2 linked regions of the Callithrix jacchus genome follow. The protein of the gene in region 2 purifies or fractionates together with the protein of the main gene of each other region. This does not show direct contact. Links are inferred from orthologs where the notes say so. Each region holds a gene or a part of one and is shown on either strand. Other genes may lie near its edges. The genes, in order: NCK1 and TNIK.

Region 1 (4,546 bases), about 31 Mb from region 2:
CCTACCTCCAACACGGGGGATCAAATTTCAACAGGAAATTTAGGGGGACAAACATCTAAATTATAGCACAGGCCAACCACATGCATGCATTACTACTTAAGCAAATAATTTTGAAGTTAAATGCAGAAAACTGCAAACTTTTGAGGCTGATAGCTAGGGCCAGGATTAAAGTAAAAAGTATTAATGCCTTAAACAAAATTTACTGACCATCTACCATGTGCAAGGCCCTAGGGAGAAACTGAACAGACACGGTTCCTGATTCAATGGAGTTTACAATCCACGTAGGGATACAGACAAACCATTTCAATAGCTCGGATGGAGAAAATACCTGTGCTCAAGGATACCTAACTCGGCAAGCTTCCCTGAGGAGCGACCCTAAACTGAACCACAAAGATGGTTAAGAAGAAATGAGGCAGCAGGGTGTGGTGGCTCATGCCTGTAATCTCAGTACTCTGGGAGGCCGAGACAGGCGGATGAGAAGGTCAAGAGATGGAAATCATTCTGACCAACATGGTGAAACCCCGTCTCTAATAAAAATACAAAAATTAGCCGGGCGTGGTGACGCGTGCCTGTAGACCCAGCTACTAGGGAGGCTGAGGGAGAGAATCGCTTGAAACCAGAAAGCGGAGGTTGCAGTGAGTCGAGATCGCGCCACTGCTCTCCAACCTGGCGACAGAGCGAGACCCCGTCTAAAAAAAAAAAAGGTTACTACGGTTTGCAGCACACTTACTGATGCTTCAGCCAGTGGCTGGAAACCTTATAACAGGCAGACCTAGCTCCGAAGATCCTCTTCATAACACTACTGTCGCCAAGACTGGAAGCTGCCCAAGCACGAGGGTCCTTTTAGAGGGACCTCAGACTCAGTTTATTTTGGTCTGTGCCTCAAATTAAACACAAGTCGGCCTGGCGCCGTGGCTCACGCCTGTAATCCCAGCACTTTGGGAAGACGAGGCAGGCGGATCACGAGGTCAGGCGATCAAGAGCATCTCAGCCATGGTGAAATCCCGTCTCTGCTAAAACACAAAAAATTAGCCGGGCGTGGTGGAGGCGCGCGCCTGTAGTCCCAGCTACTCAGGAGGCTGAGGCGGGGAATCGCTTGAACCCGGGAGACGGAGGTTGCAGTGAGCCGAGATCACGCCACTGCACTCCAGTCTGGGCGACAGAGCAAGACTCTGTTTCAAAAAAAAAAAAAAAAAAAAAGCCACATGTCTTACATTTCTCCCAGGTCCCAATTTTCAGGTCTTTTTATTTGTTTTTCTTTGTCCCTCCCTGCTCCTAAGCACCTTCGGCTGGGAAGACATTCTTCAGGTGCAGAAACCAGGGGGAGGCTCCCTGAACAGTGGGGGTTAGCTCAGGACGCTGTCATTTTTGCTGTAGAGTCTCTCCTGCAGCGCTGGGGCGGAAGGCTCAAAGTAACCACCCAGAGCAACCGCAGAGGGAAAACCGAAGACAGTCGTGGTCTGGCCTACCGCTTCTCACCCTCTCGCTGTCTTCTTTCCGCCGCGCAGCCTCAGCTCTTTCCACAGTACGAACGGCGCTTGATTGACAAGTGGGCCCGCCCAATCCCAGTGCGGCACAGACCACTGTCGCGTCAAGGACCGGGAAAGGGGGCGACTGAACCTATCAGATTGGGTCGGGAGTGGGTTTCCTGCCCGCGCGGATCCGCCTGCCCACCGCGCGTGCCCCGCCCCTCTCCCGAGAGCTACGCGGCGGTAGAGCGCAGGCCTCGTGCCGTTACGGTCATCACGGCGACCGCGGCGGCGTCCCGGTGCCTTCCTCAGGTGAGCTGGAGCTAGCCGGCACGGAAGACGGAGGGTGAGATGGCCTTGCTGGGAGGCCGACACACACACACCCCCTCCTTCAGTCGGCTGTCCGTCCTCACAGCCTGTTACTCGCTGCGTCGCTTCCTCTTCCCCCGCTGAGTTAGCCCCGGGGGCGCCGTCTGCAGGCTCGGAGCTGAGCCGGAGGGGATGCGGAGGCTGCTCGGCGGGGCCCGGACGTCTGCACTGGGATTCCGCGAGACCCTTGGGGCTCTGCCCCAGGGAGCGCGAACCCGTGGCCTCCTTGTCAGCCCCTGGAGCGCTGCGTCGGGGTTAGAGCCCGGGCGACCGCCCCTGCGAGGCTGGGAGGTCGAGTGTGCGGCTCGCTCGCCGGCTTGTCTATTTTCTACTGAAAAAGTCCTGTTGCCAGCTGTGGCGTAATCCAAGACCGGGAAGGTAGGGACGTGGTAGAAGGGAGGGCGCTCTCACCTCCAGCCCGAGAGGAGGAGGGGGCGGCAGCCTGCGCGGTGCTGAGGGTGGACATATTCGGGACGCGCCCTCGCCCCTCCCCCTACCCGCCGGCGGTTTTCTGGTCCGGGGCTTTGACTTTAAACGTCTGGACCTGCTTCACATTCGTACGCGAGTTGCTGGGGGTGTAAACTTTTGACTTGAGTTGTAATATGTTTGGTAAAAAAATTATCTCGATAGTTTTGTAACATTTCTTGTATGTTAACGTATAAGTTAAATTTGCCGTTAGAAGCTCAGGAAGCTGGATTTGTTCAGGGCTGAGGACGTAACGGTAGGAAGGCTCTCGGTGTCAAATCGATGGATCTGGAGTCAACTGAAAATAATTCTACACGTTATATTAGGTAAGAAGCCTTAGGAATTGTGAAAGAATGAGGTTAAGAAGAATTTCCAACTCCTTTTTGGGAGGGGAGCAAAGCAGCTCAATGCCCCAAAACGGGTAAGTGTTGCCAAGAGGTCCTCATTTTTTTTTGGTTGTTGCTGATTTTTTTTTTTTTTTTTTTTTTTTTTGAGACAGAGTCTTGCTCTGTCGCCAGGCTGGGGTGCAGTAGCGCGATCTCGGCTCACTTGCAACCTCCGCCTCCCGAATTCAAGCGATTCTCCTGCCTCAGCCTCCCGAGTAGCCGTGCTACCGTCGCGGGCCATTACCACCCCCAGCTAATTTTTGTATTTTTAATAGAGACGGGGTTTCACCGTGTTGGCCAGATGATTTCCATCTTCTGACCTCGTGATCCGCCTGGCTCGGCCTCCCAAAATGCTGGGATTACAGGTGTGAGCCACCGTGCCCAGCCAAAGTACTCATTTTAAAAATCTTTCTTGGATAGACTTACGGCAAACCAACAATAATGATTTCTTCAGCACCTGGAAAGCGCTATGTCTAAACTCTCAGCCTTCAGCGAGGTCACACAGTAAATGGGGAAATAACCCAATAAGAAAGTTTTGTTTGTTTGGTAATTGTCAACGTTTGTTCTTTTCTTTTTTTAAAACACTTTATTTTCTTGTGGGGATGGAGTCAGTGATGTTCTTAAATAGGCATTCCATTCACAACTTGATAGTAATATGCACTGGTTAATAAATGGTACTTTCTTTTCATCTTGACCACAAGCTCTGAGGCTTTCTTCTTTGGGAAAATTATGGTCTGTGGGAATTGGCTCTAATATCCATAAAGATAGATTGCAGAGTGTTCAGATCTACTAGCTGTTGGTTCATGTATTAAATTTTTAAATGTGTACTTATTTTTCTAGGCATTATCTTTTGTCCAGGTTTCTGTAGTGCTTTCAGGTCCATGTAAATAAAACTTGAAACCTACCTGTAATGTTTTGTTAGTTACTGAATGAGACCAGGCGAGGTAGTTCAAGCCTGTAATCCCAGCACTTTGGGAGACCAAGGCGGGAGGATAGCTGGAGTCCAGGAGTTTGAGATCAGCCTGGGCGATATAGTGAGACTCTGTCTTTAAATTAGAAAATTAAAAAAAAAATTTAAAAAGGAAAATAAAAAGAAAAGTGATATTAAGTGATGCTTTGTGTTTCTTGGTTTCTTTGAGATGGAGAAACATAAAGACTTGCTCTGTTGCCCAGGCTGGAGTGCAGTGGCATGATCTTGGCTCATTGCAACCTCTGCCTCCTGGATTCAAGCGATTCCTATGCTCAGCCTCCCCAGTAGCTGGGACTACAGGTGTGTGCCACCACACCCAGCTAATTTTTTTTTTGTATTTTTAGTAGAGACGGGGTTTCACTATGTTGGCCAGGCTGATCTTGAACTTTTGACCTCAAATGGTCCGCCCACCTGGGCCTCCCAAAGTGCTGGGATTACAGGCGTGAGCCACCGTGCCTGGCTGAGTTTCTTTTTCTTTTGGATCTCTGAGGACTTTCCTTTCAAAGCTGAAGGTATGTTTGATGTGATTATTACAAATCACTTGTCAGGAAGAATTGACGTAATGAATACAGGTGCAGTTCATTTTTAAAATTATGGTTTAATAATTTTTAGAATTTACCTTTATAATATGGAAAAATACCATACATTCTTTATCTGTACTGGAAAATTAAATGATTATTTCATTGATAAGTAAAATTGAAGGGAACTCTTGAAATCACTGAGCATTTAACAAATTCTCTGTAAATACCTTGATGTTAAGAAGACCACAGGGCTAAATATGACATTTAAAGATTAAGACAACAGTTATGTCTGGCTGATCCTCACCTGAAACTGTAACAAAGAGAACTAGTCTTCCCTTCAAAACTGATGCTGACTTGGTTTTGTTG
Region 2 (3,812 bases):
ATATTGTGACATGAAACCCCGAGACTGAGTGTACTGTTCCCTCTTCTACTTCCAACATCATGTTTTCATGGTGCTCTCCAAGCCTGAGATTCATTTTTCAAAGTAAGCCTTCAAGGTACATTGCCCACAAACCTAATATCTTCATGAAGTCCCTAAATAAAGATGTAATTATTCTTTTAAGGAAACTGTCATGGGAAGAAAAAATCTTCAATTCCAGAATAATATCATCCCTGAATTAAAGATTTTAAAACTTCTGGAGGCAATACCAATCCACTTGCATCACCAGGCCAGAGTGAAAGGGCTGAAAGTTCTCCTCCCCAAGAGAAAGCTCCTTGGGTTGACTCAGTGTTCAGGACCAAGTGCTGCCGTGTAGGCTTACTTAGTTTATTTCCAACTGCGTCAGATTTTCATATTGACCATGTGATCGATATAGGAGATTGCTTTTACTGAAAGCGAGAGGAAAGCTCTGTCACCACAGTGGTCCTACAGATTTTAAGGTGCCGTACGTGGTTCACAATGTAATTTTCTCACTGCAATTCTTGCAGTCTGATAATGAATGAAGTCCTACAAATGCACAATGGCTAGTGAATAATCAACACCAGAAGAAGCTGGAGAGAGGCACACACTGACTAGGGCGCTAGAATATGAACAGCTGAATACCCTGAACAATCCATGATCATTTTACAGCTCAAGCACAGGGTTGTTAGCATTGTTTAGTCCTGCATATTTATCTGCGCTTCTTAATCTTCTTGCTTATTGATTAGTATGGCATGGGGAGCAGCACCAAAGCCTCCTTCACCCCCTTTGTGGACCCCAGAGTATACCAGACGTCTCCCACTGATGAAGATGAAGAGGATGAGGAATCATCAGCTGCAGGTAAGCAAGAAGGGCCCAGTGTTTTAAAAACAGCTTCGTCTTCCTTCTGTTACAGCCTGATAAGAAAATTAATCCTCAGTTCAGTAGTTAAGCCAATTACTCCTTATGTCCTGTCTTAAAAGGAAGATTTGTTAAAATTATTATTTCTTGTTAAAATTTTTGTTAAAATTATTATTATTTAGGTATCTTAAAACAAACTTACTTATTTCCATTTTTTTTTTTCCATCTCTTCTGTTTTGTTTCTGGTAGACCCAGGGGTATATAGAGACCCTAGGAAAGCTGTTCCTCAGTGATCTCTGAACATAACCAAATATTTCCCCAAAACAATTTCTGAGTACAATGCTTTGCACACAGTAGGCCCTTAATAAGTGCATGGTGCATTGTGTTGAGTTCTAGGTGTGTGCTTCCCACTACAAAAATCTGGCTAATTTAGAGGAGGGTCTTGCTTTCTAATGTTCTTCAAGTAATTAATCATCAAAGCAGCTTAGGATAGTTTTGCAATTGATACTCTGGAATTTCAAAAAGTAGATCTTTTTTGCTTATATTACAGGAGTGGGGATGGTGTATTTCATTTGGGGAGATTAATATCAACTTTCTAAGCTGTCCAAGTAGTGTCTATAAGCCTGTTTTGCTAATTAATGAAACACTGCTTTGATGAATGACTTATATTTTATTCACTTTTTTAAAAGTGTAAAATAAGAAGAGTTTCAGTGTTTCTTTGCCTTTACTATAATTCAAACCAACAAGGAGAAATCATAGTGTTTTGAAGTCTCATCTCCACATCTTCATAGGTTATCTTTAAGATGCCACTGACTTCTCTGATTCTTTTTCTCAAAGCTCTGTTTACTAGTGAACTTCTTAGGCAAGAACAGGCCAAACTCAATGAAGCAAGAAAGATTTCAGTGGTAAACGTAAACCCAACCAACATTCGGCCTCACAGCGACACACCAGAAATCAGAAAATACAAGAAACGATTCAACTCAGAAATACTTTGTGCAGCTCTGTGGGGTATGTCAGTGCCTTTTTTTTTTTTTAATAACCTCTTACTAATGAACTGACCCCCAAACAGGAAAAGCCCGTGGATCTTGTCATCAAAAGAACACTGGTTGAATGGTGGGTATCAGATACCTAGCTTGGGATTATCTTGACTTCAGGAGAGACCAAAAGCCATTTTATATGTAGAAATAGCTGACACCCTACTAGCCGGGATGATGCGATTAGATTCAAACAACCTTGCCGCAAAATAGTGATGGGCTAAAGCCAACAAGAGAACTAGCTACCACCTGATACACTGAATGTGCAAGGCAAGGTCTGTAATCTGATCAATCAGAGGTGAGCTGTGTCCGGCACTTCGTGATATACCCCACGCTCATTCTCCATGATCCATACAGCCTGCGAGGGGAATAAGCACATAAATCATGGCATAACCCTTCATTTCAAGCTGAAAAACCAGCCCAGAGGATTTTAGTGAATTATCCAAGGTCATACCACTAGCAGTAACAAGATAAAACTTGAAGAGAACAACAAATAATATGATGAACTTTGCCTTTTAGTTTAAAACATCAGTCTGCATTTCTTGTGAAAAATATCTGCAGGTTTTAGCTGACCTCAGACCCAGGATAGGCATGATGAAATTCTGTCAAAGTCTTGGTCTATGTTACTATGAACATCTTATACAGATTAAGGAAGGGCATGTTCCCTATGTACCCATTGAAAACAGTAGGCTTGGAATTGGGGAACTGTACTTTTCAAGGGCTGAAAGCATTTGAGATGTTAGTAGGAAAGAGTGTGAAGCCTAGAACTATTTCATGATAGATGCTCTGTCCTCTGGAGAAGGGACAGAAGAGAACAAGATAGCCACATTTAATTTAAAAGGATTAATATGTGGACAAAAAAGCAGATATTTGTGTTGATCAGAAGATAGAAGTACAATAAGTAAGATAAGTTGGAGAGTTACATGTTCATGAATGTAGTACACTGCACAATGAGCGTCTCAATGTGTGTGTGTAGAGGGGTGGACGATAAATTTCCCTAGCAATGCATTTTTAGGATTACAACGACCCAGACAAAACCACTTACCTGCCTGTGCTTCTGGAATAGGGATTCCTGCATGGGTGTTGGGCTGCACTAGATTTAGAGAACTGAGAAGTCCCTTAAATGAGTATGTTTGTGACTCTCCAGCTATTGACACTTCTCTTGAATGAATTTATAATTTCTCCAAAAAAGAGCAGAAACTTGAGGGTAAGGGGCATAAGGTAGTTAGATTTTGGTTCAAGGAGGAGGAAGGGCCTTTCTTCCAATGGAGTATGGAAATGAAATTTCCATTGTACACTGAAGGCGGGCAGGCTAGAAATCACTGCACGGGGGTGGGGTGAACCTTGGGGAAGAAGAGAAGTAGATTTATAGGGAGAGCCAAGAAAGAAGTGGTTGTTCCAGGAAAGGAATAAAGGAAGATTATGCTAGCTTCATATCTGTGCCCAAGGCCCCTGTTGACAAGGACTCTCTGCATTAGGTAGTAAATAGGACATGTGAATGAAGCTACAACTTTACAAAAGGAAATTGTGATTTCATTACCAGAAGTACAATGCTTTAATTATTACGTCAGAGCTTCTACTTCTACACTTATTAGTTTATATTTACCTGCTTGCTCATTAGTTTATATTTACAAGTCACAGTTTCTTAGATTTTTATAGGGACTCTTGATGCCGAAGATTAAAGTTTGTGAAAAGTCAGTCTTACGGTGCTTCTTAAATTTACAGGTGTAAACCTTCTGGTGGGGACTGAAAATGGCCTGATGCTTTTGGATCGAAGTGGGCAAGGCAAAGTCTATAATCTGATCAACCGGAGGCGATTTCAGCAGATGGATGTGCTAGAGGGACTGAATGTCCTTGTGACAATTTCAGGTATGTTACTAAAATGATGAGTCCCCCACGTCC

The links.
Region 1: the proteins of TNIK (region 2) and NCK1 purify together in Homo sapiens (affinity purification with mass spectrometry; 3 studies listed by BioGRID and IntAct, with this or other methods). This does not show direct contact. The link is inferred for Callithrix jacchus from reciprocal best matches to the Homo sapiens genes TNIK and NCK1.

Annotation. Positions count from the first base shown.
Region 1 is NC_133518.1:47,382,803-47,387,348, reverse strand, and holds the start of NCK1 (SH2/SH3 adapter protein NCK1), read left to right. Parts: upstream 1-1,697; 5' UTR 1,698-1,781; exon of another isoform or gene 1,782-2,216; intron 2,217-2,524; exon of another isoform or gene 2,525-2,629; intron 2,630-4,003; exon of another isoform or gene 4,004-4,171; intron 4,172-4,546. UniProt on the Homo sapiens protein: Adapter protein which associates with tyrosine-phosphorylated growth factor receptors, such as KDR and PDGFRB, or their cellular substrates. Maintains low levels of EIF2S1 phosphorylation by promoting its dephosphorylation by PP1.
Region 2 is NC_133518.1:15,981,737-15,985,548, forward strand, and holds part of TNIK (TRAF2 and NCK-interacting protein kinase), read left to right. Parts: intron 1-764; coding exon 765-876; intron 877-1,713; coding exon 1,714-1,884; intron 1,885-3,635; coding exon 3,636-3,779; intron 3,780-3,812. UniProt on the Homo sapiens protein: Serine/threonine kinase that acts as an essential activator of the Wnt signaling pathway. Recruited to promoters of Wnt target genes and required to activate their expression. May act by phosphorylating TCF4/TCF7L2.